Callithrix jacchus: one gene and its partners. The protein of the gene in region 1 binds, or shares a complex with, the protein of each later gene. Links are inferred from orthologs where the notes say so. Each region holds a gene or a part of one and is shown in the gene's direction. Other genes may lie near its edges.

Region 1 (10,815 bases):
ATTAATAAGCATTTCTTCTCTAAGAATAGGGATTCTCAATCTTTATTATAGTACCAGGTGCTATGTGCTCTGTGTGGATTTTTTTTTTTTTTTTTTTTTTTTTTTGATATGGAGCCTCACTCTGTTGCCCAGGCTGGAGTGCAGTTGGTGTGATCTCAGTTCACAACCTCTGACTACCTGGTTCAAGCAATTCTCCTGCCTCAGCCTTTTGAGTAGCTGGGATAAGAGGCCCGTGCCACCTCGTGCTAATTTTTGTATTTTTAGTAGAGATGGGGTTTCACCACATTGGTCAGGATGGTCTTGATTTCCTGACCTTGTGATCCATCTGCCTTGATTGGCTTCCAAAGTGCTAGGATTACAGGCGTGAAACACCATGGCCGGCCCAGAAATTTTATATTATACCACTACCTCCCTATTACTGTGATTGACATGAATATGTACAAACAAACCAACTTTGTACTAATTTGTTTACTATGATATTTATCCATAATTCACTAAAGAGGAACAGCAGAGTATCACTAGCTTTCCAGCATTTGAGTCCAGTATTGTAGCTCTTAAAAGGTTTTCCTAAAACTAAAAATCAGAATGTTCAGATTATCATTTTCAAAGATTTCATCCTTTTACCAAATAAGCAAAAGCTAGCCGTTCACGTGAAAGGGGTCACCATTATCTACGAATGCTTTCTATGCCCCCGGAGCTCCATATCCAACAAAACTATAGCTATGAGAGAAGGGTGCTGATGGTTTCCCTCTCCTCCCCTCCCCCTTCCTTTCCTCTCCTCTCTTCTTTCTCTTTCCTTTTCTTTTCTTTCTTTCTTTTCTCCTTTTTCTTGTTATATCTGATGATGGTTACTTTTTTGGGGGGATAGAGTCTCACTCTGTCACCAGGCTGCAGTGCAGTGGTGGGATCTTGGCTTACTGTAACCTGCGCCTCCTGGGTTCAAGTGATTCTCCTGCCTCAGCCTCCTGAGTAGCTGGGACTACAGGCGCCTGCTACCACACCTAATTTTTGTATTTCTAGAAGAGATGGGGTTTCACCACATTGACCGGGATGGTCTGTATCTGCTGACCTTGTGATCCACCCACCTTAGCCTCCTAAAGTGCTGGGATTACAAGCCTGAGCTACTGCGCCTGGCCAATGGTTACTTTCAATCAGAAGACATGCACTTTATCCAATAAAAATTGGGCTGAAGAATTTAGGAATTCTAAATAAAATTTTGAATTGGAAAAATAAAAATCTACATCATGGAAACATAAATATAATAAGGAGAGTGACAGGGGCTGTGAGTGCCCCTTCATTCATGATACTCTAGCTGTCAGGGCTGGGATTTGATTTTACCCTAACAAGCTAAGTTAAACTGTTAGTGGCTCATGGATCTTTTTCCCAGAAGACACCAGACTCTTAGGTCAAGGACAAAGTATTGGTATTACTTACAACACAACAAACACCTTGAGCGTCAATGTATTTGTGCCAGTTACTCTTGCTTTCAGGTCCCATGGGGCAATGTAATGGGCCCAGATGGATGTCATGCATACAGTGGATTTGTGCTACAGTTGAGAAACACTGAACTTGGGAATCCACTGCTTTTATAGTAAGCAGTAAGTAAATCTGGTTTTTGTCTTGGATTGAGATGTTACGTCATCTCTCAAGGCAACTAGCTGCAAGCAATCCTTAGAAATGGCCTGTGTAAAAGAGTACTCGGGGCCTTGCATCTTGGCACACCCACCAAGATGTATATAGGAGTGCAAGAAGACCAAGGAAGATTGTTTCTCTTAGTAACCACACCAGCATCTCTAAAGAATGGCCCTGGTTGGGCACAGATGGCTCATGCCTATAATCTCAACACTTTAGGAAATTGAGGCAGGAAGACTGCTAGAGCTCAGGAGTTCAAGGTTACAGTGAGCTATAATCACACCACTGCACTCCAGCCTGGGCAACACAGCTAGACCCCATCTCTAAAAACTTTAAAACTAGACCAGGCTTCAAAAGAATTGCTTGAACCTGGAAGGCAGAGGTTGCAGTGAGCTGAGATTGCTCCAGTGCACTACAGCCTGGGCAACAAGAGCAAAACTCTGTCTCAACAACAACAACAAAATAATAATAGGCTAGGCTTAAGTGGCTCATGCCTATAATCCTAGCACTTTGGGAGGCTGAGGTGGGCAGATCACCTGAGCTCAGGAGTTCAAGACCAGCCTGGCCAACGTGGCAAAACTCCCATCTCTACTAAGAATACAAAAATTAGGCCAGGTATTGTGGCTTATGCCTGTAATCCCAACACTTTGGAAGGCTGAGGTGGATGGATCACCTGAGGTTAGGAGTTCCAGACCAGGTTGGTCAACATGGTGAGACTGCCATTTCTACTAAAATTACAAAAAATTAGCCAGGCATGGTGGTGCATGCCTGTAATCCCAGCTACTGAGAGGCTAAGGCAGGAGAAATGCTTGAACCCAGGAGGTGGAGATTGCAGTGAGCTGAGATCGTGCCACTGCACTCCAGCCTGGGCAAGAGTGAGACTGTCTCCAAACAAACAAACAAACAAACAAAACTCCCAACATTAGCTGGGCATGGTGACACATGCCTGTAATCCCAGCTACTTGGGAGGCTGAGGCACGAGAATTGCTTGAATGTGGGAGGTGGAGTTGCAGTGAGCAGTGATTGTGCCAATGCACTCCAGCCTGGGCGACAGAGTGAGACTCTGTCTAAACAAACAAACAAAATACCTACTACTTGATAGCACAGGTGACTATAGTCAATAATTTAATTGTACACTTTAAAATAACTGAAAGAGTGTAATGGGTTTGTAACACAAAAGATAAATACTGGAGGGGATGGATACTCCATCACCATGATGTGATTATTTCACGTTACATGCCTGTATCAAAACATCTCATGTACTCCACAAATATATACACCTACTATGTACCCACAAAAATTAAAAAACAAAGCCACTATAAACGTTTTCCAAAATGGCTTTCTACATCACTACCAGCAATGTATGCAAATTATACTTGCTCAGCATTTTCATCTTCACCAACATTTGTAGTCAGTCATTTTCCACCCTCATTCTAACAGATGTGTAGTAGTACCTCATTGTGGTTTAATTTGCATTTCTCCAATGACTAATGAGGTAGAACATCATTTCATGTGCCTGTCAGGTATATATCTTGTTTGGTGAAATCTGTTTAAATCTTTTGCCCGTTAAAAAAAATATTTTTTCCTCACTGAGTTTTGAGTTCTTTATATACTCTGAATAAAATCTTTAAATGTGCTTAAAAAAAACCCTCCTTAGTTTATCATACATCTGAGCATGTGTATTCAAATGACTATGGTGCACTTTAATTCCATACTTTGCCCTGAGTTTTATAACTGATTTAAGTAATTTCACAATGTTATCTTTCTGGGAATCGTTTTTCTCCATATGTAAAAATGAGGGAAATTTGTTTTACTGTCAAAATGTAAAACATCTGTCTTCAAGCTCTAAAAAAGGTATTCTGTATAAAATTGAATACATTCTAAAATACAGCAGAAGCTCTGCTGCCTGTTAGATTTAAATAAGTGCAGTAATGTATGACCCAGGGGTAAACACGAAAACAGTGAAACAGTGATTCCAAATGACATTGGGAACATAATGAAATTTGGGAACTCAAATGTCTAAATTAGTTTCTAAATTATTATTATTATTTTTAAACTGAACCAGTAACCCATTAAGGAATGATCTGGAAGAAACACTTGGCCGGGTGTAGTCCCAGCTACTTTGGAGGCCGAGCCAAGAGGGTCGCTTCAGCCTAAGAGTTCAAGGCTACTGTAAGCTATGATTGTGCCACTGCACTCCAGCATGGGCGACAGAGCAAGACCTTGTCGAGAGAGAGAGAGAGAAACCTGTTTTACCTTCCCAGAACCTATACCATGAAAAAGAGAACTGTTAAAAGTCAGTGGGTTTAAGTTTTGACAGTAGTGTATACAAGCTTCTCTCAATTCAGCTCCTTTTAATTCACTCTGCACCTGCATCTGATTTGCAAAAGATGATGCGTAAAATTTCAAAATAGCAAGTGTCAGTTTGTTACAGTGTTAACATGTGGCTCAGTGCTCTATGCAGTAGACCATGTTGCCTTGCAAATTTAGATCCTTATCCGACTCTAACTGTTACTGTAGCAAATCTACTTTAATGCTACTTGAACAGTTTGTAGTTATTAGACTTGGAACTTCGAGTAGCTGCAACCGCTAGAAACTCCTCCGGTGGTTCCCCCCCTCCCTAGTCTCTCCAGAGGAAGGAAGGTCACCTTCTACACTTTAACTACCATGCTCATTCGTCTGGGCAAAATGCCCAGTCCACTGCCGTCTTCACGCGTTATTCTCCAGTACCGGGCTCCTCCGCCGCGCACGTTATTTCCCGTAGAGCTGGGCACGAAATTGAGCACCTCGAGGACCAACGGCAGCCAAGGATTATCTCCCGTTCCCGTTTCAAGCACGTCTCCCACTAGGAACTTTTTTCACTTGTCACGCTTCTGCTGCTTTCTGAGGAAAATAGACGATACTTGGTTTCCTGCCAAAGTCTTCGTCACTCTCGTAGCTATGACGTCTGGGTAAAAATAGCTCACATGTTTGCTTAAAAAATAACGGCCGCGCAAATTTGTGGTTACATTTGTCTCGGGTCAGAAGACCGTTCCTCCTAACTAGTGAGGAGGGAGACGCGTAAGGAGTGAGGAACGTGGCCGAGGCGAGGCTGCAGAGACTTACTCCCGCCGGGAAGCGGGACCACTCACTCTGCCAGAAACTCCGTCCGCTTACCCTAGAAATTTGGGGCGGCTGGACGGTTCTGGCGCCGCTTCCGGACCCGCTCCTGGCGAGCGCAGGAACTCGCTCTCCCAGCAGGCCCTGCGCGGTGCGCCTCTCGGCGCGTTCCGGGTCCTATGACAGCTCGATCGCCCTGCCCCGCCCGCGCCCCGCCCGCGCCCCGCCCGCGCCCCACCCGCGCCCCACCCGCAGCCCCACCCACTGGCTCCCGGCTCCTTCCCCGGCTCCCGCGAGTTCCAGTCCCGGCTTCCAGCTCCCCAGCCCCGCCCTCAGTCGCGCGCGCTCTCCCTGCCCCGCCCTCACTCCTTCGCGTGCGGCCCCCACAGCCAATGAGGTTCAGGGCCGCGTGCGCAGATTCAAACGGCGGCTCTTGAGGGAGGCTGGGCGCGAGATTCGGCGGTGCGGACAAAACCCTGCAGGAAACTACGATCCCTGCAGAACTGCTAGCTGCGGGTAGAGAGCGGTGGTCGGCGCCTGTGGCGGAGTCGCGCTGGGACCGGGGCGGGGAGGCTGAGAAGCGGTGGGATAGGCCGGCGGAGGGCGGGAGCGCGCCTTCTGACATGTTGGGGGCATCCCTGGCCCGGCCGGGCCGGGGCTAGGAGCAGCGCTGTGGGCAGGGGCCAGGAGCGGGTCGCGGTCCGCCCCCGCTGTCCCTCCGTCGCACCCTGCCTAGGACTTGCGTTCCGCACTCGGCTGCCTTCGGAGGGAGCGAGGGAAGCGGCTAGAGGGTCAGGGAGAAGGAGCATTCGCCGGAGGCTAGAGGAGGCTGACCCGCGTCCCCGTCCAGCCCGCCCCTATGCGGTACTTGAAGGATGGCGAAGAGGTCGCGCAGGTGGGTGGCACCCCTTTTGCCCAGGCCTGTCGGCGCCTTCTCGGCTCAGATTCTCTTTCCTTTCCCCCTGCCCCCTCCCGCCATAAGGCCCTCCCCGGCGAGGGCAGAGGTTTTTCTTCCCGCGGCCGCCTCGATGGCCGGAGCACGACCGCGATGTGTGGAGAGTTGGGGACCAGGGTGTGAGACGCGGGGCGTAAGAGATGCCCAGGTTGCTCCGTGGTTCTCCCCACAATGCGCGTCCAGACTCCAGTCCTCACGCTGCCACTTCTTGGAGGCAGGTTTCTTGCCAGGTAAGTCGAGCGCTTTTAGGGAGTTCGCTACGCAGAGAAAAGTGGCTTTGTCCTGTCGGGAGGACTTGAAAATGGTGTTCCGGCTACTCTTCTGAATAACCGTACAGTCAAAATAGGAACTACGCGGTGAACCTGGGTGGCCACCCTTCTGCCAACTTGGCTACCTCGAAACGTTGTGGAAAATCCTCTGGGGAATAGCTGAGAGGACCTTTTTGATGTTTTCTGTAATTCCCATACCCATATTCTCAGCTTTATGTATATATGTATATTTTAATATTTTCTACTGGGACCATGCCACATTGTTACTATTAGTAGCTTGATGTTAAAATAAAGCAATGTGTTTGATTCACTTAATATTTTGAGTGTCTGTGTTTGGCTCTGACCGTATCTAAGTGTTGCACAGAGGTAAGGCATATTTTGGGGGGGGGGGGCCTGGAAAATGTGCTAGGATGAATTTATATGCATTACAGCAGCTACTCATAAATTATGTGGAGTAATTACTCAGATAACAAAAATACAGGGTATCTTCTGATTTTCAGCATTATCAAATAAACCTGAAAAGATGTTTGGCAGACTTTCCAAATATTTTACTTACCTAGATCCACAGCCCTAAAGTCTTAACTAGTGATGTATTTCCTAAGTTGAAATTTAGTAATGGAGGTCATTCACTGCATATTTCTGCTAAAAATCGGCAGTAACTATACATAATAGTTTTTTGCTTTATTTGTCTGTTAAGCATCTGCTGTGTGCAAGATGCTTCTGCAGAAATCTTTAAGTCCCTGTAAGCTTATTAGTTTTGTAATAAGTTATAGGACAAACCCTTGAGATGAAATAAATTTATACACAGATCCCTCTAGAACAGTTTTCAAAGTTTGCACTATTGACATCATGGACCAGTTAATTCTATGTAACGGGGAGATGTTTAGTAGCATCGCTGGCTTCTACCCAGTAGAGATAGTAACACTCCACTTACCTCAGTCATGACAGTAAAAATGTCTCCAGACATTGCCAGATATCTTTCGGGGGACAAAAGCACCCAGGAAAGAACCACCCCTCTAGAACTTCAAGGACCCAGTTAACATCAGTCTTCAGAAAAGATAGATATTTAAAGCTCTTGTAATTATGATTGCTGAAGTACCGGTTTAGGCTTTTTGAATTTTTAAATATATAAAAAATTAAAAATTATTAAGATGACAAATGAATATATCAAATTTATTAATGTTTGATATTATCTACTTATCAGTATTTATGTTAATTTTATTTGAAACAGTTATTTGGCTCATTCTGCTATCAGCATTTAGTTAAATTAAAATTTTGGGTAAACATGAATGTTTAAATGTCAGAACTTTATCCTTCCCAGTGGGTTTTCTGTCCATTTCCTATGTATGTAGTGCATGTTTCGTAATAATAGACAAAGAAAGGAAAAATGACTTAATGTTAGTTTCCCTGTATAAGTTGTTTTATTGACAATACTGTGACCTTGAAATTTAAATATTAATTATATTTTTGACATTTATTTCTTGCCAGTTGTATAAGTTAATTTAAACACAATAGAATGATTTAAAGAGGTATAAATCTGGAGTAATTAAGTGTGGTGGGGTGAAGCTACATTCTGCCTGGGAGTATACAGATAGAGGATGTGGGGATACATTATCATCTCTGAATGATACGTCTCTTAAGTCTTCATACCCGAATATGTTGCATAGTCTACATTTCTTGCATGTGTAAATATGATTTACGTATCTTAGAAGATAGTAGATGCTCTGCTTTGTGCTTCAACAAAAAACAAATTAGAGTGTGAATTGTTTTGAAGCAAAAATAGTCATTGGGAAAAATATCTCTTGCCTTTTAGCTAAGTGTCTTAATATATTTGAACTCAATTCATAGTTGAAAGGGAAAAGAAATAATTCAGTTACTTCAGGTTGTAATTTGAGATCTCCAGTATACAACCATGTAAGCATTCAAGTGAAAACTATAGTTCGCTGTATACAAGTTTTGCCTAAGAGTATAGGCGTAAATCCTGTAATACATGTTTATGCTATGTGATCTGGAAAAAAAACAACAACAAAAAACAAAGTAGAAGACTAAGTGTTACCTCAAGTGTGAAACAACTGCAGGATGTTGGTTGTTTTGATCTTTGTTTAAGATAGCTGTAGTATCTCTCCTCTAGATTTACATACAGGAAAAGACTTATTTGTATTGTGACTTTAAATAATTTTACATCCCACTGGGAGTTGTAATGACAATTTACAGGCAATACTAAAATTAATATGTCTGTTATTAACATATATTTGACTTTTAAGCATATTTATATATACATAATTAATTTTAGATTTAAAAGTTTTACCCTTTAAAATAAACTTTTATAAAATATTTAGAAACGTATTTACTAGTAATAGATTATTTACACTTGAGATGACCTGTGACTGCACTAACTGAAAAGATAAAAGCCAGCTCTTGAAATAGAAGATGTTTTTTCAGTGGTATGTATATGTGTGTGTGTAGGAAGCAATTTTACTGTGTTGTTTCCAGCAAACCGGGTGGGAGTGAAATTATACTGAAATATGAGAACTGATCTTTTAATCGGTTTTGTCATTAACTGGCAGTGTTGTTTTGGGGAAGCAGGTAAACTCTGCCTCAGTTTTTCATCTGGTTAATATACGGATTTTGGATTTTATGGTTTGTAAGGTAGTTTCTAGCTTTAATATATATATTTGAAGACATTTTGTAATCTTTTCTCATTTAAAAGCATATCCATACTAATGAAATATAAATTTTCTCATATTGCTTTTGTTTATGGAATTGCTAGGTAGAACTCTCTTCATTATTGCTATTAATAACGATCAAAGGTTATGTAAAGTTAAATTTGTCTTACTGTGATAATGCTGGTTTGCACAATCCAGATTTGGAAATAAAATATTCATGTCTGCAGTACATCATATGAGCCACTGGGTGGCCTAATTTCACTTTATTAAATCAACCTGGTAAATTTTCATACCTTGAATATGATTGGACTTTAAAAAAACTAAGTGGCCAGCTCCTAGTCCTCCAAGATTGTATAATAAAGATGTATTCTTTTTGTCTGTTATGAAGAATTCAGACCTGAGTTAGTTTGTGATTAAAGATATTAAGTTGATGCAATTTTACTAGAGCAAAATTTCATAGAACTATTTCTTTTAGAATACAAATTTTTTAAAAATTTCAGTTTCCTCCTTGGACTACCTCATTTACTGGTTTTAGGTGAGATAATTGTTGTCCTCTAAAATTGAACTTCTAAATGTTCTATCTTAATAATAGCACGTGAATTATTTTATCAAGTATGTATTATTTCACAGACAGTCCTAACTATCACGTCCTGTTAGCTCACACCCCAATGTAAAGTTACTCTTAACTATTGTCCTGGCCTAATGAGTTATACAATTTTTTTGTGTGCTTCCTTTCACTGTTTCATAATCACCCTAATCACTTTAATTCACAATCTATGGCTGGGCGCAGTGGCTCACGCCTGTAATCCTAGCACTTTGGGAGGCTGAGGCAGATCACTAGGTAAGGAGTTCGAGAACAGCCTGGCCAACATGATGAAACCCTGTCTCTACTAAAAATACAAAAATTAGCCAGGTGTGGTGGTGGGTGCCTGTAATCCCAACTACTTGGTAGGCTGAGGCAGGAGAATTGCTTGAACCTGGAAGGCGGAGGTTGCAGTGAGCCAAGATTGCACAGTTGCACTGCACTCCAGCCTGGGCAACAGAGTGAGACTCTCCCTCTCTCTCTCTCTCTCTCTGTCTCTCTCTCTCTCTCTCTCTCACACACACACACACACAATCTATGAAACTGTTTACATTTGAATGTAGTAGTTTGGTTATATATTAGACATTTGCCAAGTAGATGTTTTCTTTGACTTAAGAAAACTGGCAGAATCATTCTGGAAACCAAGTCCTGGGCTGGAGAGTCAAAAGACTAAATTAATCTATTATTGCTTTGTGACTAGAGAAATAATGTTATTTTCTTTTGCTATCTTCTAGATAATTACACTAGGCTAGAAATGGTTTATTAAACTATATAGTAGGAAGCCGATTTTATTAAATTTTACATATTACCAGCATTGATTACTTTAATACAGAAATATCAAAAGATTATATGAAAGTAGACAAATAGAGGAGATACATTTTGATGGTGTCTAACCACTTTTCAGTGATGGGACATTTTTGTTGTTAAATGGTGAAAGTGGAATATTGGTGAGGTGATTTGTGGGGTTTTATCCTTTCCTTGGTGTCTTTGCAAGTTATGGACATTCTCAGACATCTTTCTTTGTAGCTGGTGATGTTGATACATTTCTAGGATCTTTTCTGTGGTCACATGTATTTGAAAGTTAACATTGTCTTTTCAATACTCACTTAAATATATGTAGAAATAACTTGATGCCAAAACTAAGAAGTAGGTAGACTCTAGGAAAGTCCCAGTGGTAGAGAGATAATTCTAGGAATTCTACTTGCTCCTTCACACTTACCCACTCAAAAAGCCCAGCTTACTGAACGTTGGATGGGCTATATAAATCAGTGTCTGAAACTGATGACCATGCTGAAATGCAAAACAGAGAATGAAGCCTCATGTAGAAACAGAAATTTCTCACAATAAAGTATGTGGATAAAAAGTGAGGGGCAGAATTTTATGGTTAAAATGAACGAGTTTTTAGGAAAATTACTCCTTGGAAACTAGTCTTTTAAGACCAAAATAATGTTTTTGGACTTACATCCTTAAAGTATTTTGTAAGAACCTTAAAGTAGATTTCATAAATGGGATGTATATAGTTTTGTGAATACTCGAGATTTATATGGGTAAATTCCCAAGGTAAAAATTGTTTTGATTTAGAAATAATCTATATTTTAAAGCAGTCTCAAA
Region 2 (10,810 bases), on another chromosome or scaffold:
AAACAAAACAAAAAACAAAACGGTCTGGCAAGGTGGCTTATGCCTGCAATCCCGACACTTTGGGAGGCTGAGATGGGCAGATCACTTGAGGTAGGGAGTTCAAGACCAGCCTGACCAACATGGAGAAACCCTATCTCCAGTAAAAATACAAAATTAGCGGGTGTGGTGGTGCATGCCTGTAATCCCAGCTACTCAGGAGGTTGAGGCAGGAGAATCGCTTGAACCTGGGAGGCAGAGGCTGCAGTGAGCTGAGATCGCAACATTGCACTCCAGCCTGGGCAACAAGAGTGAAACTCTGTCTCAAAAAAATAATAATAATAGGCCCGGCGCAGTGGCTCATGCCTGTAATCCCAGCACTTTGGGAGGCCAAGGCGGGCAGATCATAAGGTCAGGAGATTGAGACTGTCCTGTCCAACATGGTGAAACCCTGTCTCTATTAAAAATGCAAAAATTTGCCGGGCGTGGTGGCACACACCTGTAGTCCCAGCTACTCGGGAGGCTGTGGCAGGAGAATTGCTTGAACCCGGGAGGTAGAGGTTGCAGTGAGCCAAGATCCAGCCACTGCTCTCCAGTCTGGCGACAGAGCGAGACTCCCTCTCAAAAAGTTAAAAAAAGAAAAAAAAAAAAGACATGTAAAAAAACCACAAATAAAAAAATAACCAGTAGAGTACTGGCCAATCTAAGAGGATCTTGGCAATGTCCTAGAGGCCAGGTGGGCCAGAGGTCAACACATGAACTCATGGAACACAAAAAGGCTGAGGATCCTGGAGGGAAGGCAGGGGAAATCGAGGGGCCCTGCCAGTAGTCACTCAGCCACTCTGTTAGGGAAGAGTTTCAATATATTGATAAGCAGGTGGCCAGAGTCATGTGACTGGGTGTCTGTCCCAACTCAAGCATCCCACGCTTGGGAACCCCAGGATGAGCCGATTTGCACCCTGCCTCATAGGCCATGGGCAGCCTGGGCTACTCTCTGGAAGGTCCCTAGTGTGCTGCTCTATACAGTTCCCCATCTAGTGCCCCAGCCCTTTGGTCAGGAATGTGTGTTTGTGGACCGACAGTCAGAGACTGAGGCCTAGGGTCCCTGCATCTCACCTGCCCGTAGCCGAGGCAACAACTGAGACAGGGCCTGCAGTTGCTTGTGCTGGGCAACCTGCTCCCGTAGGGGCTGTAGGGGCTGTGAGGCCTGGGACATGCCCTGGAGCAACCCACGAGCCTGGCTCAGGGCTTCCCGGGTTTCCTTCACGGCCTCAAGGGCCCGGGCCAGCTGCCACACACCAGTCTGCACGCCTTCCAGGTATGACTGCATCACTGACTGTGGAGAGATGGAGCCAGTGAGGCCTGGCCAACCCTGCAGCACAGTCCCAGCACCCACCCAACCCTGCTCCATGCCCACCTTGAGGCGTGCTTCCAGAGAGCAGGTACGCTGCACCTCTCGGCTGCGGTACTGGCCTAGCCTGGCCAGCTGCTCCGGCTGGTAGAAGATGCCCGAGGCCCACTTGAGCGCTGCACCCCGGGCTAGCTGCTCTGCCCGCTCCTGCTCCGGCCACTCAGGCCCTGGGCAGGAAGAGCCTGGGCAGCCATGTCAGTCAGGGAGGGGGAGGGCCCAATGCCCCCAGTCCCATCTTTCTTTTTATTTATTTTTTGAGGTGGATTCTCGTTCTGTTGCCCAGGCTGGAGTGCAATGGGGTGATCTCAGCTTACTGCAACCTCCGCCTCCAGGGTTCAAGTGATTCTCCAGCCTCAGACTCCCGAGGGGCTGGGATTATAGGCGTGTGCCACCATGCCCAGCTAGTTTTTGTATTTTTAGTAGAGACATGTTTCACTATGTTGGCCAAGTTAGTCTTGGACTCCTGACCTCAGGTCATCCACCCATCTCGGCCTTCCAAATTGCTGGGATTACAGGTGTGAGCCACCACACCCAGCCAGTCCCATCTTTGTTGCCATCATTCCTCCCCCAGCCCACTTAGAAGGTTCATACCAGGGGACAACGTGGGCCGCATTTCATCCTTGGCTGCTGAGTCCATTGCGGGCCTGGAGGAGCCGGGGCTGAGGTGGGCCCGGGGCAAGCAGGCAGAGTAGATGCCCCTCTGAGCTGCTGCCTCTGTCTAGGCCCTTCTGAGAAGGAGGAAGGAGGTTCTTCCTGGTACTCTCAGGAAATGAGAGGGAGGAGGTGTGATGCAGTGGGCACCTGGGAGGCTTTGCCTGCTAGGTTTCCCAGTTATGCCCCTGCAGATGCCAAGTGAGACAGGGTGGGCACAGGCCTCAACTGGAACCTGGTCCTGCTCTGAGCTGCACAGGACAATTTGGTACAGAACTTACCAGATTTGATCAGGCGTCCAGTTCGCCCTTCCCAAATGACCTTGACCTTGAGAACAGCCCTCTCCCCCGATGGAGCTGGGCACGCCTGCCACTTGCTCACAGGGCCTATGTGACTCCAGCTGACTCCAGCGTGCAGCTGAATTCCTCTCCCCAAGGAAGTCTTTCTCTCACTCCCCAGCCCAGAAGCCCCTTTTTCCCACCAAGGCTCCTCCCTCCCCAAGGCCACTGACAGAAAGGAAGGAAGCTGAGTCTCTGGCATTTTATTCCCAACAGGAAAAAGCATTTGCATGGAGGGTGGGGAGGGCTGGGCGCCACTTCCCTGAGCAGGGGTGGGCGGGATGTACTTGTGATCAACAAGTCTTGACCAGCCCACCCAGAACCTCTTAGTGCTCAGGACAGGAGACAGGGATTTGCTAGACTTGGCCTCAACCTGGGGTGGTGGGCAGTGTGCAGATATGAATGAAGATGACGTCAACATCACAGGATGGAAACTGTGTTGACCTGACTCTGAGGAGGGTGTGTACCTCTCCGGAGAAGTGAGAGGTGACAGGCTGTTGTAAAGAGGGGTGTGGTCGGGGGTGGGAGGATAGGGTCATGAAAAGTGTGTTTATCTTTTTTGTTTAGACAGCGTCTCGATCTGTCACCAAGTCTGGAGTACAGTGTCACCATCATAGCTCACTGCAGCCTCCTGAGCTCAAGCGATCTGCCTCCCTCAGCCTCCCAAAGTTTTGGGATTACAGGTACGAGTCACCACAACTGGGCAGCTATGTTTATCTTGAGAATTACAGGGACCCAGGAAAGGGACTACAAGGTGGTAATAATTTAGTGGATGTTCAGTCCACCACCCAAATCCACCCTTCAGGACAGAGGCACTCATTCTCCAAATGCGAGGAGTGTGGGCTGCTGAGGTCACACCACTGAGTCTCTCAGTCAATATTCGGTTGCAAAGGCATGGTACCATCTCGTGAACATGAACCCTTCAGTAGTGCTGCCCAGTTTCAGACGTCCCAGTGGGATAGGCTGAGGCCTATAATATAATCGCATCTCTCCAAGGGCTATAATTGCATCTGCCCAATTCTGCTTGTTTTACTCCCTTAAAGATGTGGATCCTGGCCAGGTGCGATGGCTCACGCCTATAATCTCAGCATTGTGGGAGGCTGAGGTGGGAGGATCACTTGAGCCCACCAGTTCGAGACTAGCCTGGGCCATATAGTGAGCCCCTCATCTCTACAAAAACTAAAAATAACGGCTGGGTGCAGAAGCTCACGCCTGTAATCCCAGCACTTTGGGAGGCCAAGGTGGGCGGATCACAAGGTCAGGAGTTTGAAACCAGCCTGACCAACGTGGTAAAACCCGGTCTCTACTAAAAAATACAAAAATTAGCTGGGTGTGGTGGCAGGTGCCTGTAATCCCAGCTACTCAAGAGGCTGAGACAGAAGAATTGCTTGAACCCAGGAGGCGGAGGTTGCAGTGAGCCGATTGTGCCCTTGCATTCCAGCCTGGGCAACAGAGTGAGAGACTCCGACTGAAAAACAAAAACAAAAGCAAACTAAAAATAAGCGAGCCAGATGTGGTGGTGCATGCCTGTGGTCCCAGCTACTTGGGAGGCTGGGGTGGGAGAATTGCTTAAGCCCAGGAAGCTGAGACTGCATTGATCCTGCCACTGCCCTCCAGCCTGGGCAACAAACAAATTCAGACCCTACCTCAAAAAACAGGTGTGGATCACCAACAAACTTGCTGCAAAATGAGTCCCATTTCCCAGAGAACCTGACCTGAAAGAAACAACAATGTTAAAAATAACAAAATGGCCGGGCGAGGTGGCTCACGCCTGTAATCCAAACACTTTGGCAGGCCAAGGTGGGTGGATCACCTGAGGTCAGGAGTTTGAGTGAGACCTGCCTGACTAACATGGAGAAATCGCATCTCGACTAAAAATACAAAATTAGCCAGGTGTGGTGGTGTGGGCTTGTAACCTAGCTACTTGGGAGGCTGAGGCAGGAGAATCGCTTCAACTCGGAAGGCAGAGGTTGCGATGAGCTGAGATTGTGCCATTGTGCTCCAGCCTGGGTGACGAGAGCGAAGATCCGTATCAAAAAAAAAAAAAAAAAAACTCTCTCTATAGATATACCCGTATATATATGTAAATTACATATATGTAAATATATATATATATATAAATAACAAAAATTAGCTGGGCTTGGTGGTGCGTGCCTATAGTACCAGCTACTCGGGAGGCTGAGGCAGAAGAATCACTTGAACCCGGGAGGGGAGGTTGCAGTGAGTCGATATTGCACCATTGCACTCCAGCCTGGTGACAGAGCGAGACTCCGTCTCTAAATAAATAGGAAAACAAACAAAAAAAAGGAACAGGTTTGAGGGAACAGATTGGGTTAGTTGGGTAGTGTGGTCTCCTCTCCCGAGATGGGTACTGCACAGAGTTGGTGATGTTGGGGCAAATTGGCAAGGAAAGTTCCGATGGCGCCCCTTTCTCTACTGCCAGGGCTGCCAACTGACATCCTCCTCATTCCTCCCCAACTTCATCCTCAACTCCCGGTATACCTAAGTAGTTTTCGTCTTATTAGGCGGCTGGACATTTGCTAATGGTCCCTAAACTTTTGCGGCTGCGCCTTCAGACAAAAATAGCGCCGCGTTCCCTAGAAGGGACATGCGGCGGAAGCGGAAGAAACGACTCTGGCTCCGGCGGCTAGGAGGGCAGGAACGGAAGCGGAAGTGGCGGCGGCGCCGGCCTGGCCTGGCTGAGGGGAGGCGGCGGGCGGGTGAGATGGCGGAGGCCGGGCCACAGGCGCCGCCGCCCCCGGGCACTCCAAGCCGGCACGAAAAGAGCCTGGGACTACTCACCACCAAGTTCGTGTCGCTTCTGCAGGAGGCCAAGGATGGCGTGCTTGACCTCAAGCTGGTGCGGCCCGGGCTAAGGGACGACAAGGCGGGGTGGTGGACAAGGCCTGAGCCGGTAGCGGGAACCCCGGGGGCGGCCAGGCCGGGTCCTCAGAGAGCTGGCCGCCATCGTGTGCTTTCTCACAGGAGAGAGGCCGGGGGATCTTTCATTCATTCAGCCGAGGCCATTGAGCGACAGCTATGGGCCAGGCTCGGGGCTGCAGGTGTTTGTCCTCGTGGCCCTTCCTGGCTGGCTGGGAGAAGAGCTTCAGAACACCAGTTCAGGGCTGTGCGCCAGGTCTCTTCTCACCCTGCGGTCCTGAGCTGCAGTAGCACCTGAGAGGCACTACAGGGTTGGAACCCAGGTTACTCCCTTCCCAGACCACGTCTCAGGGTGGCTGGGGGTACACCCGAGAGTGGAGCTGATCATTCTCTATTCTGTCTGCCAGGCAGCTGACACCCTAGCTGTACGCCAGAAGCGGCGGATTTATGACATTACCAATGTTTTGGAAGGTATCGGACTGATCGAGAAAAAGTCCAAGAACAGCATCCAGTGGAAGTGAGTGGGGATAGTGGGAGGGTAGTAGAGTCTCCCACCCAGAAGTGTCAGGGGTGTGGGGTGGAGGATGTGGAAGAAAGCAGGGGCCGTGGGACCCAGAGTTCTCAGCAGTTCCTCTTGGCCCCACTCCCTGGGCTCAGGGGTGTGGGGCCTGGCTGCAATACCCGGGAGATTGCCGACAAGCTGATTGAGCTCAAGGCAGAGATCGAGGAGCTGCAACAGCGGGAGCAAGAACTAGACCAGCACAAGGTGTGGGTGCAGCAGAGCATCCGGAATGTCACAGAGGACGTGCAGAACAGCTGATATCCTCCTGACGGTCTCTGCTGTGGCGAGTGGGCAAGGGGCCCTCTGGTTCAACTTGCCCTGAGCCCTCTCCCTCTTGGGAGCTTGTCCTGTAGCCCCTAGCCGTGTCCCAACCTCAGGCTCCCTCCTCAGAGCCCCTTCCCAGTCTTAGCCTGTGATCCCTCCCCAGGTGGACCCCAGTCCCCAGAACTTTCTCCGAGGGCCTATGTGTCAGACTTTGGCTAAAGAGTTGGGTCTTCTCTGTAGTCTGCCGTCTGTCACCATAGGGCCATTCTCCTTAACCCTCACACTTTGGCCTACGTCACTCATGAGGACATCTGCAGATGCTTTGCTGGTGAGCAGAGCCTGGGTAGGGACAAGGGGGTGGGCTGGGGCACTGGGCTCAGTGTCTCAGGAGACACTGTCTCTTGAGTGTCTCTCAAGAGGGTTTCTGGGGCCTGCTCAAAGAGGACCCAGGCAGGGTAAGTCTTCTGTCTGAGGGGCACTGGGACCCTGTGGAGGTCAGCTGTACTGAGAGGGTACAGGAATTTTGGAGTGAGTCCCTGGGTTTGTTCCCATATGCACTGTTACCTGGATTTGGCTTCTTGGGCATGACAGAGGCACAAGGGAGAAGAGGGGGAGAGAGGATATGTGTGTATTTGCTTGTGTGCAGACTCTTACGTGCTCGTATGCAGGGTATGGGGGTGCCCACTTCCAACCTGTTATTTACTTGTATTGTGAATACAGGATCTATTCCTTTTTCTTTTTTTAAAGAGACAAGGTCTCGCTATGTTGCCCAGGCTGGTCTTGAACTCCTGAGCTCAAGCTGTCTAACTGGCTTGAGCCCCTAAAGTGCTGGGATTATAGGCCTGAGCCACTGTGCCCTACAGATGTGTTTCTTCTCCATCTTGCATCCCCAAGGCTGGTCATGGGAAAGGGATGTTGGCCTTGGCTAGAACACCTTCACCTAGGGATCAGCCATTGGTGGAGTGAGGTGCCTGTGGCCAGTGATCTTTCACTCCACATACTTGAACTCAGATTTCCTGGTTACTGACCCTCAGAAAGAGAAGAGCTTTAGTTCTGCTCAGCCACTGTAGGGGATTGGTGAGACCCACTGACTAGCCCCTCAGAGACTATGATCTCCTGCCTTGCTCCAAAAGGCAGGCACCTCTGTTCCCAGCTCAGATTTAGCCTATGGGCTCTGACCCATTCTCTGTCATTCTAGGAGATACCCTCTTGGCCATCCGGGCCCCATCAGGCACCAGCCTGGAGGTGCCCATCCCAGAGGTGGGTGCTTAGCCTAGGCAGGCGGGGTCAGCTGAGGGCGGGTGCTGGCTGTGGAGTCTGATAAGTCCCGGGTGGGGCAGGTAGGGGGAGGCCTGGAGTTCGGGGTTATCTGGGAGGATGGGCAGCCTGGGTGGGAGAGGATACTGTGGTCCTGACTCAAGAGTTGGGCAGGAGTCAGGACCACAAGCGTGCTTCCAATTCTACCCATCTCCCATCCCTTGCCACCCATCTCTAGGGTCTCAATGGGCAGAAGAAATACCAGATTCACCTGAAGAGTGTGAGTGGTCCCATTGAGGTTCTGCTGGTGAACAAGGAGGCATGGAGCTCACCCCCTGTGGCTGTGCCTGTGCCACCACCTGAAGATCTGCTCCAGAGCCCACCTGCTGTTTCTACGCCTCCACCTGGGCCCAAGCCTGCCCTTGCTCATTCCCAGGAAGCCTCACGTCCAAATAGTCCTCAGCTCACTCCTACTCCTTTCCCTGGTAGCACAGAAGTCCAGGGGATGGCCAGCCCAGCAGCTGAGATCACAGGTGAGGCACCATGGGAGCTTGTGACAGGGTCCTAAGAGGCAGTAGCTCTGTGTTGTGGAATGCCACATGCAGAGTTGGAAGAGACTCTTCAGATTAGGGACTGTCCTTTTCCTGACCTCTATCTAGCCTTCCTTTGCTATGGTAACAAATGAGGTTTTTTTGTTTGTTTGAGATGGAGCCTTGCTGTTTGAGATGGAGCCCAGGCTAGAATGCAATGCCAGGCTGGAGTGCAATGGTGCTATCTTGGCTCATGCAACCTCCACCTCCTGAGCTCAAACAGTTTTCCTGCCTTAGCTTCCCGAGTAGCTGGGATTACAGGTGACCACCACCACACCTGACTAATTCTTGTACTTTTAGTAGAGATGGGGTTTCACCATGTTGGCCAGGCTGGTTTTCAACTCCTGACCTCAAATGATCCACCTACCTTGGCCTCCCAAAGTGCTGGGATTATAGACATGAACCACCGAGCCCACCTGAATGGGGCTTTTTTTTTTTTTAAGATGGAGTCTCGTTCTGTTGCCCAGGCTGGAGTGCAGTGGCATGATCTTGGCTCACTGCAACCTCTGCCTCCTGAGTTCAAGTGATTTTCCTGCCTCAGCCTCCTGAATAGCTGAGATTACAGGCACATGCCACTATGCCTCGTTAATTGAATGGGCCTTTCTTTTCTTTTTTGAGATGGAGTCTTGCTCTGTCACCCAGGCTGGAGTGCAATGGCTTGATCTCCACTTACCACAACCTCCACCTCCTGGGTTCAAGTGATTCTCCTGCCTCAGCCTCCTGAGTAGCTAGGATTACACACACATGCCACCATGCATGGCCAATTTTTTGTATTTTTAGTAGAGATGGGGTTTTACCATGTTGGCCAGGTTGGTCTTGAACTCCTGACCTCGTGATCTGCTCACCTCAGCTTCCCAAAGTGCTAGGATTACAGGCCTGAGGCACCGCACCTGGCTGAATGGGACTTTTTTTTAACAGGGAACCTCTGACTCTGGGAAAGGGACATTGCTGGTGGCAGTCCCCCCACCTCCATTGCCCTGGTAGCCCATCTTGAAGGAGGGTCACAGCAGACATGTTGTCCATTAGTCTCTTTCCATAGGTCTGGTGCCCCTGTCTCCTATAGCGACTGATTTCCAGGTTGCCTCCTCTGGGGCGACTGACAATGCCTAATTCTCCATGAGTCTGAGAACCAGGCTTGTGGTCCTCCTGGCTGTGGGGCCAGCCAGATTCAATAACCTCTTCCTGACCTTGTGTGACTAGGTTCGGGGGCTGTCATTGCAGTGAGTGGCGGCCCTGGAACTGATAGCAAAGACAGTGCTGAGCTCAGTTCATTCCCACTGGGCCCGACAGCACTGGACACCCGGCCACTGCAGTCTTCTGCCTTGCTGGACAGCAGCAGCAGCAGTAGCAGTAACAGCAGCAGCAGTAGCAGTAACAGCAGCAGTTCATCTGGACCCAATCCTTCTGACTCCTTTGAGCCCATCAAGGCAGACCCCACAGGTGGTGAGTACCTTCCTCCCAGGGGCAGAGTCCAGTCTCAGTCCAGCCCTAGGTCAGAAACACAATTGGGGATGGAACCTAGCTCCTGTCAACCTTGCCGGACCAGAACTCTCTGCCAGCACCTCTGGGGCAGTGCTGATGCCCTCTCTAGTATCCCGTCCTGGGCTAGCACAGAACTCCTTGCCCTCTCTTCAGCCCTTCCTGCCACCCCTTGGAGCACCATTCTCGTCTCACTAATTGACACTTCTATCACTTTCTCTCATCTTCTCTGTCTCTTTTCTCTCTGCACACCTTGAAAAAGTAATCTCCATTCCACATTTTGATCTCCTAGTCACCTTTCAGGTTGGAGCAGTCACTCTGTAGCCCCAGTGTTATAGCAGTACCACCTTTTTATTTATTTTATTTTATTTATTTATTTTTGAGATGGAGTTTCGCTCTTGTTGCCCAGGATATAGTGCAATGGTGTGTCCTCGGCTCACTGCAACCTCTGCCTCCTGGGTTCAAGCGATTCTCCTGCCTCAGCCTTCTGAGTAGCTGGGACTATAGGCATGTGCCACCACACCCGGCTAATTTTGAATTTTTAGTAGAGACGGGGTTTCTTGATTTTGGACAGGCTGTTCTTGAACTCTTGACCTCAGGTGATCCACCCACCTCATAGGTGTGAGCCACCACGCCCAGCCAGTGGTGCACTTGAGAAGCTGCCGAAGGCTTGCCAAGCCCAACAGCTCTCCAGCGTGTTTTGCCTGGTGCTCTCTTGGTTCACGTCAATGTTCTTTTTTCTTAGGCTTTAATGATGTCAGCTCTTGGCTCTCCTACCTCACTGGCTTCTTTTTGAACTCTTCCTGGCACATCCTTAAACATTGGTGCTTTCGAGGTTTCTGTCCCATTCCACTCCTGGAGATGGCTGCAGCTCTGGGTGAACGAATTCCCAACCACTGCCTGGCCTAGATCTTTTCCCAGTCTGCACACTTTGGTGTCCAGCTGCCATCCTCTGAACATACAATGGACACTTTATTCCCGCCTGTCATCGACTGAACTCAGTTTCCTTCTGAAGCTTGCTTTCCACCTCTGTGCACCCTACCGTTGGCTCTAGTTGTCCAGGCTTGACCCTTGGCTCTCACTCTAATTCCATCTCCTCCCTCCTCCTTCTGCTGCTCACCCCATGTCAGCTCAGCAAGGTCTGTCCCAGATGTCCCCTCTTATCCTCTGGTATCCTCAGCACTCAGGATGACCCCTAGCCACCTCTGTACTGGATTCTTCAGGATCTTTCTCTTTACCTGACAAATGATCTTTCTGAAATGCAGGCCTGACAGAAATGTGGCATTTCTGTGTTTGCAAAAGTACCTTTAATGGCTCCTTGAGGGCCACCAGATAAGATCTGAGCTCCTGAGCTTGGCATGTGAAATCCCTCATGGTCCTCTCTAGTTGCATTTTCTTCTGC
Region 3 (10,763 bases), on another chromosome or scaffold:
ATACAAAAAATTAGCCAAGTGTGGTGGCACACACTTGTAATCCCAGCTACATGGGAGGCTGAGGCATGAGAGTCACTTGAACCTGGAAGGCAGAGGTTGCAATGAGCTGAGATTGTGCCACTGCACTCTGAGTGACAGAATGAGACTCTGTCTCAAAAAAAAAGTGTGGCAGTTTTTAAAAAATGTTTGACACACACTTACCATACAACATGGCAATACCACTCTGTTTTAGCCTTCTTGTCATGCCACAACAAAATATCATAGACTGGCTGGCTTAAAAAAAAGAAATTATTATTATTTTCTTTTTTTTTAAATTCACCTTCCTCCCTCTCTCCCTCCCACAAAAAGAAATTATTTTTTCACAGATCTGGAGGCTGGAAAATCCAAGATGAAGGTGCCAGCCTGGTTTGGTTTCTGGGGAGGCCTCTCTTCTTGCCTTCTTGCTGTGTCCTCACACGGCCCTTCCTCTGTACATGTGTGGAGAGAAAGCAAGCTATCCTTCTGTTCTTCTTTTTTTTTTTTTTTTTTGAGACGGAGTTTCGCTCTTGTTACCCAGGCTGGAGTGCAATGGCGCGATCTCGGCTCACCGCAACCTCTGCCTCCTGGATTCAAGCAATTCTCCTGCCTCAGCCTCCTGAGTAGCTGGGATTACAGGCACACGCCACCATGCCCAGCTAATTTTTGTATTTTTAGTAGAGATGGGGCTTCACCATGTTGACCAGGATGATCTCGATCTCTTTACCTCGTGATCCACCCGCCTTGGCCTCCCAAGGTGCTGGGATTATTGGAATGAGTCACAGCGCCCAACCTCTTCTTCTTAAAAAGCCACCAATCATACTGGATTAGGACCACACCCTTATGATCTCATTCAACCTTAATTACCTCCAGACAGTTCTATCTCAAAATACAATCATACTGTATTTAGGGATTAGGCCTTCAACATATAAATTTTGGAAAGACACATTCAGTCCATGGCACACTCCTAGCTATTTACCCAAGAGTATTGAGAAATATATATGTAATGTGATAGCAGCTTTTCTCATAATTATCCACAACTGGAAACAACCAAGATGTCTTCAAGAGCTGAATGCATAAATAAATGATGTGCATTCATGCGATGAAGTACTAATTATCAATAAAAAGGAACAGACCCACTGAGACATAAAATAACTTGGATGACTCTCAAAGGTATTATGCTAAATTGAAAGAAACTTGGCCAGGTGTGGTGGCTCACACCTGTAATCCTAGTACTTTGGGAGGCTGAGGTGGGTGGGTCACTTGAGATCAGGAGTGAGACCAGCCTGGCCAACATGGTGAAACCTTGTCTGTGCTAAAAATATAAAAAAATTTTATAATTTTTTTCCAAAGATATTGAACCCACAGATATGGAGGGCTGACTATATATATATCATCTTAAAAAATATGGCAATCAGATTTGTGTATCAAGATAGCCATTCCTGCTTCTGGGAGGACAAGGAGGTAAGATAAGGAAAAGAAGTGTTGGGTAAGTGTATTCTAGAACTCTCATTTTGAAACTATCTTGCAAAAAGTATGATAGAAAATGATGGTGAAAGAGATCTGACTAAACCATGTCATCTTGTCTTTAACCTCCAAACTGTCCTTGTACCTTCCCGGGCACAGGCTGAACTAACTATAGGAGGAATTTAGTTTATAGTTTAATTTTGAAACAAAAATAATAATAGTGCTTTCCTGAAACAAACTCCTCCCTTGCCTGGAAACCAGACTGCCTTTGTAGAACTAACAAATTAGCAACATGATTAGGAAATTTTGATTTAGGGGCCTTGCAGCCAGAGGCAACAAGATTCCTAACCTCCCCAGTTGCTCCAAGGGATATCACTATTGCAAAACCTAAGATTGGTGTTCGAGATATTTTTAGACCCTGCATTCTGATGGAGCAGCTGTCACCACCCAGATTATCCGGCTCAACCAGTTCTGCAATCCCACCAAGGAACAGAAGACACCAGGAAGAACCTGCTTAGACTCCCTGTGATTTCATGCCCAATTCCACCAATCGGCGTTCTCCCCTCCCTAGACCCCTGCCCAGCAAATTATCCTAAAAAAATTCTAGTCTCCAAATTTTCAAGGAGACTGATTTGAATCATACAACTCTGGTCTCCCATTATCTGGCTGTGCATATATTAAACTCTTTCTCTACTGCAATTCCCTTGTCTTGATAAATTGGCTCTACCTGGGCAGCAGGCCAGAAGAACTCACTGGGCAGTTGCAATTTCAACTCCAAGCATCTTGCTCAACAACTAAGACTCAATCAGTTAAACCTCCATGATCAAAAATGGCTGTGACTTAAAATCTCCTTCTTTGAAGGAATGTTAATGTCAAAGATAATTTTTTTGTCCTACAGATTTCAACTGGGCAAAGCTCAGTGAGAAGATTCATCCCTGTTATATACAACATCAGCTGGAACAGCCTGACTGAAGGCTGAAGGATCTGCTTCTGCTTCTAAACTGGCTCATTCAACCCAGCCGAGGGTCAGGGGCCTTGGGTCACCATGTGGTGATAACTGCAGAATTCTTGGCACATAGAGGCTCCTTCCAAACCTTTGCACTTAAGAGATGATCATCTCTCAAGAGCAAAAGAAAAGGAAGAAAGAGAGAGGGAGGTAGGAGACAGTGAGGATCAAATTTTTGTGTTGCTTCTGGGAGATCAGTGTCAAGTCTCTGAAATGATCCCAGGCCCTCTGCCCCCACTGTCCCATTGAAATCATCAGGAAGACTAAGGCCTCCATCTTCTAGTCTATGTGGGGACAGAAGCCTGATTTTCATAGTTGCTGGCTAGGAGACACAACTAGCCTAAGGACATTAACATTGACCCGCCCTTTGTAATTTTTTTTTTTTAATAAGATGAGGTTTCACCATGATGGCCAGGCTGGTCTTGAACTCCTGACCTCAAGTGATCCACCTACCTCAGCCTTCCAAAGTGCTAGGATTACAGGTGTGAGCCACCGTGCCTGGCCCCCTTTGTAATTTTTTACTCAAGCTCTGCTCTCTCCTTCCTCTCCTCTTTTACTCTTTCTTTAAAAGGCCCAGTCACATTTATACAAGTTGGAATGAAGCTCAGCTCTTTCCCCTGCTGTCTATTGGTAGTTACTGGGTAAAATCTGTTTTTCACACTTTAAATAACGTTTGGCTTGTTTATCTTTGACAGACAGTGACCTGGTCTTTCCCACACAGTATGTTGGCTGGGTTCAAAGAGTGAATGAGGAAAGATTGAGAGAATGAGAGACAGAGATAGCACATGTGCCAGTCAGGTGAAAGACCTCTTGCGTTTTATGACTAAGCTTCATAAATCGAATAACAACCTCAAGAAAATTTAACTTCCCCATATCAGAAGCGTTCAAACCAGGGTGACTCCATTTTGAGTGAAGGATAGGAAAAATGGGGCTGGGGCTTGCTAGGCTGCACTCCCAGAAAGTTAGGTACTCCTAGCCTCTAGATGTTTACAGTTAAGGGAACAGATTAATAATGTTTACGAAACAGACCCAGACTCGGGAGCGTCCTGATATCTGGTATCTTGGGAACAGAAGCATTCCTAATTTTGCTTTAAAGATAATAATATTGATTCTTGCAAAATATAGTAATTAAGAAGATTAATTCTTTATCACAAATGCTTGTAGCAGAGCACATCTCACCATGAATCTTTTTTAATCTTATGTATAAACAAGTATTGTACCTAGGGTGGTTCATTCTTCCTCTTACTTTCGGGAATGTCCTACTCTCTATGGAGTAACTGTTCTTTCATCACATTACTTTCTTAATAAAGTTGTTTTTGCTTTGCCCTGTGGACACGCCTTGAATTCTTTCTTTTTTTTTTTTTTTTTAAGACGGGGTTTCACCATGTTGGTCAGGCTGGTCTTGAACTCCCGACCACAGGTGATCCGCCAGCCTTGGCCTCCAAAGTGCTTGGATTTGAATGTAACCGCCCAACGGATTCTACTTGCTCACTGCCCAGAGTCGATTTATCAAGACAGGGGAATTGCAATAAAGAAAATGTTTAGTTCACGCACAGCCAGCTGAACCGCAGAGAGGAGTTTGGTTATTCTAATCAGCTTACCAGAAAATTCGGAGACTGGGTTTTTAAAAATAATAAACTGGTGGGTAGGGGACCAGGGAGTGGGGAATGCTTATTTGTCAGGTGGGAGATGAAATCATAGGGGGTTGAAGTGGATCTTGCTGTATTCTGTTCCTGGGTGGGATAGCAGAACTCGTTGCGCCAAATTGAGGTCTGAGCGGCCCCAGCTCGTGCATCAGAATGCGGGGTCTGAAAAATATCTCCAGCACCAATCTTAGGTTTTACATAGTGATGTTATCCCTAAGAGCAATTGGGGAGGTTAGGAATCTTGTAGCCTCTGGCTGCAATTCCTAAATCATAATTTCTAATCTGGTGGCTAATTTGTTAGTTTTATACAGGCAGACTGATCCCCAGGCAAGAAGAGGGTTTGTATTGGGAAAGGGCTGTTAACATCTTTGCTTCAAATTGGAACTACAAATTAAATTTCTCTTTTAGTTAGTTTGGTCTGCGCCCGGAAATGAACAAGGGTAGCTGGGAGGTGAGAAACATGGAGTCATTTAGGTCAGATCCCTTTCACTGTCCTAACTTTCTCACTGTTAGGATATTTTGCAAAGTCGGTTTCGTGAACTAATACAGACAAGCCCTTGCTATTATAGTTATTTTTTAGATAAGGATATCCAGGTGATGAGGAAGTTTTACTTCTGAGAACAGCCTGGATACGAAACCTTTACACGTCAGTGTCTCTTGGACATTTTCTCGTCTGTACAGCCTTGTTGAATGTTCTCACGATGGGGAGGTATGTGCTTAAAATGCGGGGAAGGTGCTTTTATTTCACCCCTAGTGAAACTGGGCGAACTAATTTTTTTTAAACACGATTTTTGGCCCCCGTGAACTGCCGGCCTGGACTACATTTCCCAGCAGGCCGTGCTCAAAGACTACGGGTGCCTGCGGGAGGTCAGCGACGTTGGCAGCGGCACAGGCGCGGTGCGGACGACGCCGGGCGGTAGCTTCGCGGTTTGAATGGCTGAGGGCCCGGGCCCTCACCTCACTTGAGGACCGGCTGCCTAGGGGTGCGCTATGCCGTCGGGAGGTGACCAGTCGCCGCCGCCCCCGCCTCCTCCTCCTGCGGCAGCGGCAGCCTCGGATGAGGAGGAGGACGACGACGGCGAAGCGGAGGACGCCGCGCCGCCTGCCGAGTCGCCCACCCCTCAGATCCAGCAGCGGTTCGACGAGCTGTGCAGCCGCCTCAACATGGACGAGGCGGCGCGGGCCGAGGCCTGGGACAGCTACCGCAGCATGAGCGAGAGCTACACGCTGGAGGTGCGCTCGCGGCTGGAGGGGCGCTTCCGGCCTAGTCGGCGTGAGCCCGGTGCCTTCCGAGCCGCGTCGCGCGCCCCGAGGGACCCTCGGGTGGGCTGCAGGGTCCCAGCCCGGACAGGGGTGGGGCCCCTCAGTGCTATTCCGAGCCTCTTAGCCGCTCCTTGGGCGAACGGGGTCTCTCCGCGCTTCCCTGCGGCTTCCGAGTGGGGAACGCCCCTTGCCCTAAAGTAGCACAGCGAGGCTGAGATAGCGCTGGGGTCCCGATGAGGAACATGGGTGTGTGTGGCCCATCTGACACCCCCCCCCCCCACCCGCCTTGTTAGTAGAATGAACCGGTGTCGCTGTCAAGACCGCACGGAGGAGGGGAGGGGCCTTTCCTTATTTGCGCCGCGATTAATCGGGTTGTGGCGCCTGGGTCTCCAGGCTTCTCCGTCTGTTCGCTTCCCGCTGTTAACCAAATCGCCTTTGCCCAGGCGTTGGAGGCGTTTGAGTCTACGCGCTGATGGGTGTTGGGCTATGTTTATGTCTGTGTAAACAAATTAAGACCCATTTCCTCCCAGCCTAGATGAAATGAGCCCTCCGCCGACCCGGATACAGATACATGCCCCCATTTGTCACTAGGATCAGGACTGTGGCTACCTCGAGGGCCTTTTGGTCACCCTGGGTATTGCACCGGACTCCTGTTGTTATCGCGATCCGGGCGCGTTAGGTCGCAGCCTTCGGACAGGGCTTGCAGATGAGAAAAATGGCCATTCTAGCCAGTGACTGTCAGCTCTGTAGGCACCTCCCCTTCATGCGCCAATGGGAAGTGACACGGAAGTCCGGATTGTTTATCAGCTGTTTGCCTGTGTGTATGTGGCATTTAAACCTGAGGCCATTTGATTTCTTAAGTAGTTTTATATATACTTTGTAGAAAAAGTGGGACAAATAGGCCCGGATGCAAAGGCGTAATCGACGTATTATTTATAGTATGTTTTTGCCTATGTGTCCGGAGTGGTTATTTTAAAATTTGTATTTGCATTAATAGCATTTTAATTCAATTACTAGTTCCCTCTTTGAATTGTTATATCTGCAGAAGAAAGATAGTGTATGGTGCCTTTAGAACCTGACAGACCTAGGTGACTTTGAACAATTTACTTAGCCACCAGAAAGTTTAGTTTTGTGATCTCTGAACTGGAGATATTTGTGTTAACCTCACAGAGCTGTTAAAGGTTAAATAAGGTAATAATGTATTTTCTGGCGCATAAAGCACCCATATGGACTGTGCTTTCAAGTTTACTAAACTCTTTGTATATTTACATGATTTGGCTGAGCAAGCTCATCTCTCGGTGACTTTCTGTAGTCTGGCAAAGAGAAGGACTGGTTGGCTTTTTTTTTTTTTTGAAGGGCATTTTAAGGACTTCTAAACAAGTTCTTAATTTTACCCTCAGGATAATCCTGTAAATTAGATAGAACAAGCATTACCACCATTTAGTTATTTCAACTCATAGCGGTTAATGTGTATGAACTCTAGTGGTATATCGCAAGTGTCCCATAATAGGTGGTTAGTAAATTATTTTTGAAAACACATGTTTGATTACTCAGATATTTTGATTACTGAGACTTTAGGTTCAGCTTCTTAGCCTAGTTTACTCAGTAATTGAATGAATATTAATTCATCAGATATTTCTTGAACACAAATATTACTTGCTACACACTGTTCTAGGTGCTGGAAACAGAGCAGTAAACAAAGCCTAAAAATACCTGCTCTTGTGAGGCTTATAGTCAGGTATGCTGTGAGATAATGTGGGATGTCATTCTCACGGCAGTGGAAGGGAAAATAAAGCTCATAGGAAATTTAATACAGATTATGGGCTATGGAATTTTAACTCGATTTCTTGTATTTCCTGTGCATTTTTAATTTGTAACTCATTCTGACAGCCCTCAGCCAAGAAAATGCAGCCTCTGAGACTGTTAAGTAATTTCCCCACTGTGTTAGAGCTACAGTGTGTCAGAGCCAGAATCTGAAACCAGATTTATTTGACCCTGTAAGATATGGCCATGATTTGTTAATTTTGAGGATAACTATTTTTTAGTAATATGCAATTTTTCAACAAATATTTTTTAGGACCCAAGATAAACTAGGCATAGAGTCTGCTCTTTGCATAGATTATTTAAAAGAGCTTACTGCTCCATTTTGCCATCTAAGCGCTGTAAAATTCTCACAAGACTAATTCTTTTTTTTTTTTTTTGAGACGGAGTTTCGCTCTTGTCACCCAGGCTGGAGTGCAATGGCACGATCTCGGCTCACCGCAACCTCTGCCTCCTGGGTTCAGGCAACTCTCCCTGCCTCAGCCTCCTGAGTAGCTGGGATTACAGGCACACGCCACCACGCCCAGCTAATTTTTTGTATTTTTAGTGGAGACGAGGTTTCACCATGTTGACCAAGGATGGTCCTGATCTCTTGACCTCGTGATCAACCTGCCTCGGCCTCCCAAAGTGCTGGGATTACAGGCGTGACCCACAGCACCTGGCAAGACTAATTCTTTTCTTCTTTTCAGGAATGTTATAGTTGTGACCTTTCTTTCTTTCTTTTTTTTTGTTCTCCCTCCACCTTCCAAGTAGTTGTGAATTCTCTAGAACCAAAATGGACCATTATAGATTATCTTTTAAACCCTTTATTAAAGCACAGGATAATGTTGTGACTGACTTTATACTTTCTAAGAGATTTGATATAGTAGAGAAATGCAGTAGTTATAAATCTAAATTTGCTTTTACATTATAAATAACGAATATTGTGAAACCATCTCCCAGAGATAAGTGTAATACACAAACGTTGGCTGGTTTTTTTTGACAATACATCTGTGCTATTAGTACATATAAATGGATTTTTAAGATAGTCTATGTATAAATGTGAAAAATGAAGAACTTCCAGTTTTTCTTATTTTCCTTTAGACCAGTAATGGATACAGTGAAACTAAAGGACATCTTCCATCCTTGCTCTCTTTTATAGGAGTAGTAAAGTTGTATCACTTCTTGAATAAAAAAGAATTGTGAGGATGATCTTTTAGAAGCAATGCCTTAAAAATTATTATTGTTTAATGATAATATGTTAGTAATCTACAATAGTTTCATTTGGTTATAAGAATAAATTTCATGCATTCATGTATGTATTTTGATTAGGTATAAAATTAGTGGCTGAATGTCCATTCAAGCTTAATTTTGTATTTCTATAATTTTCTAGATTTTGAGCAAGATTAAAAATACAAACAACAATATTATGTCCATTCCGATGGCTATATAACAAATTACCTTAAAACTTAGGAGCAGAAAACAATTTGTTTTGCTCACAGGTTCTGTGAGTCAGAAATTCAGGCCAGGGACAATATTGATATCAGGTTTCTGCATCAAAATGACTGGTACCTCACCTGGAAGACTTGAGCAACTAGGAACTGGCACAGCTGGAGCTCATTGGGCATCTCTGTATGTCTGTTCCATGGTGGTCTCTCCAGCATGGTGATACCGGGTAACTGAATTCTTGGATGTTTTTTTAGGACTCCCAAGGCATATGTCCTAAGAGAAAGAACCAAGTGGAATCTATATTGCCTTGTATAATCTTTAGAATTACATAGTATCACTTCTACCTCTGCTGTTGATAGAGACAGTTAATCAGTGTGCAGACCCCTGCCCACCTCCATGGTGAGGGAACCTTCCCTGCCTCTCAGTAAAATAATGTCAATGTCACATTATAAGAAGAACATGTGGGGCCAGGCACAGTGGCTCATGTCTGTAATCCCAGCACTTTGGGAGGCCGAGGTGGATGGATCACTTGAGGCCAGGAGTTTAAGACCAGCCTAGCAAACATGGTGAAACTCCGTTTCTACAAAAATTAGCTGGGCCTGGTGGCACATAGTCCCAGCTACCTTGGAGGCTGAGGCAGGAGAATCACTTGAACCTGGGAGGGGGAGGTTGCAGTGAGCCAAGATCACACCACTGTGCTCCAGCCTGGGTGACAGAGCGAGACTCCATCTCAAAAAAAAAAAAGAAGAGCGTATGAGATAGGGTTCTTATTGAAAATAAATTTCCCACAAAAATATAAACACTTTCTTTTATTTTTTCACCCTGCACCACCATATAAACATTTAAACATACTTTAAAAAAATATTGAAATAGATATATAGCTTATTAATTAAAAATGGATTTTCTTTTCTTTTACAGGGAAATGATCTTCATTGGTTAGCATGTGCCTTATATGTGGCTTGCAGAAAATCTGTTCCAACTGTGAGCAAAGGGACAGTGGAAGGAAACTATGTATCTTTAACTAGAATCCTGAAATGTTCAGAGCAGAGGTAACTATGTTAGAGTTTGAGAAGTAGAGTATGGCTTATATGAGCTTATAAATCTTAGTGATAGTAACAATTCTGTTTATCATTTTCTGAGCATTTGTACCTGTGGACGGGTGAAATTAGATGCTAAAATTAGCATCCAATGATTTTCCTTTATTTGTATCAAAGTTGGTATCCATTATATTTTATTTCTTTGGTGAAAATATTTAAATTTTAATGTATTAGACACTTGTATTGAAGAGTTTATTATTTTATTTTTATTTATTTATTTTTTTGAGATGGGGTCTTGCTCTGTAACCCAGGCTGGAGTGCAATGGCGTGATCTTGGTTCACTGTGGCCTCTGCCTTCTGGGTTCAGGTGATTCTCCTGCCTTAGCCTCCTGAGTAACTGGGATTACAGGCATGTGCCACCATGCCCGGCTAATTTTTGTATTTTTTTGTAGAAACGGGGTTTTTGCCATGTTGACCAGGCTGGTCTTGAACTCTTGACCTTGTGATCTGCCCACTCCTGCCTCCTAAAGTGCAGGGATTACAGGTGTGAGCCACTGTGCCCGGCATTGGAAGAGTTTATTTTTAAAGGTTATAACATTGTGTAATATTGAGAGAAATGAAGGATATTGAGAAACTGTAGGAGATACTATAAGTTGAAAAGGTAAATAAAATATTAATTATTTGGTATTGTACTTAGAAATATGTGTACAGGACTTGTGGTCTTAATATAAATGGAACGTGTAAGTATTTCTCGGTTTCCTGTTTGGAAGAAAAATGACATGATTATAATCCATTTTAGAAAGAGTCAAATATGTTTAAAAGAAGAGGCAGAAATTGCTTTATCTGTTGTATAATTAAATTGATTACATTCTTTTTTTTGTGCCTTTTAGGTGAATTGTCTTATATAGCTTATTAAAGATAAGTGGAAAAATGATGTCTAATATTTGGGGGGAAATTATCACTGTCAAAATTTATGGATCTAATAGTTAAAAAAATCATGACTAAATAAAAAAATTGACCAGGTGTGTTTGTGCATACCTGCAGGACAAGCTACTTGGGAGGCTGAGATGGGAGGATCAC

The links. The genes of interacting proteins can lie anywhere in the genome.
Region 2: MYBL1 (region 1) and E2F4 share a complex: the UniProt entries of both Homo sapiens proteins name them as parts of the DREAM complex. The link is inferred for Callithrix jacchus from reciprocal best matches to the Homo sapiens genes MYBL1 and E2F4.
Region 3: MYBL1 (region 1) and RBL2 share a complex: the UniProt entries of both Homo sapiens proteins name them as parts of the DREAM complex. The link is inferred for Callithrix jacchus from reciprocal best matches to the Homo sapiens genes MYBL1 and RBL2.

The regions. Positions count from the first base shown.
Region 1 is NC_133517.1:22,488,873-22,499,687, reverse strand, and holds the start of MYBL1 (myb-related protein A), read left to right. Parts: upstream 1-5,735; 5' UTR 5,736-5,857; coding exon 5,858-5,916; intron 5,917-10,815. UniProt on the Homo sapiens protein: Transcription factor that specifically recognizes the sequence 5'-YAAC[GT]G-3'.
Region 2 is NC_133521.1:24,699,165-24,709,974, forward strand, and holds the start of E2F4 (transcription factor E2F4), read left to right. Parts: upstream 1-5,054; 5' UTR 5,055-5,101; coding exon 5,102-5,236; intron 5,237-5,663; coding exon 5,664-5,773; intron 5,774-5,913; coding exon 5,914-6,075; intron 6,076-6,366; coding exon 6,367-6,410; intron 6,411-7,280; coding exon 7,281-7,342; intron 7,343-7,577; coding exon 7,578-7,872; intron 7,873-9,129; coding exon 9,130-9,372; intron 9,373-10,810. Other genes in the region: EXOC3L1 (exocyst complex component 3-like protein), read right to left, coding at 1,093-1,312, 1,394-1,569, 1,979-2,024. UniProt on the Homo sapiens protein: Transcription activator that binds DNA cooperatively with DP proteins through the E2 recognition site, 5'-TTTC[CG]CGC-3' found in the promoter region of a number of genes whose products are involved in cell cycle regulation or in DNA replication.
Region 3 is NC_133521.1:11,351,318-11,362,080, forward strand, and holds the start of RBL2 (retinoblastoma-like protein 2), read left to right. Parts: upstream 1-5,007; 5' UTR 5,008-5,124; coding exon 5,125-5,367; intron 5,368-9,564; coding exon 9,565-9,695; intron 9,696-10,763. UniProt on the Homo sapiens protein: Key regulator of entry into cell division. Directly involved in heterochromatin formation by maintaining overall chromatin structure and, in particular, that of constitutive heterochromatin by stabilizing histone methylation.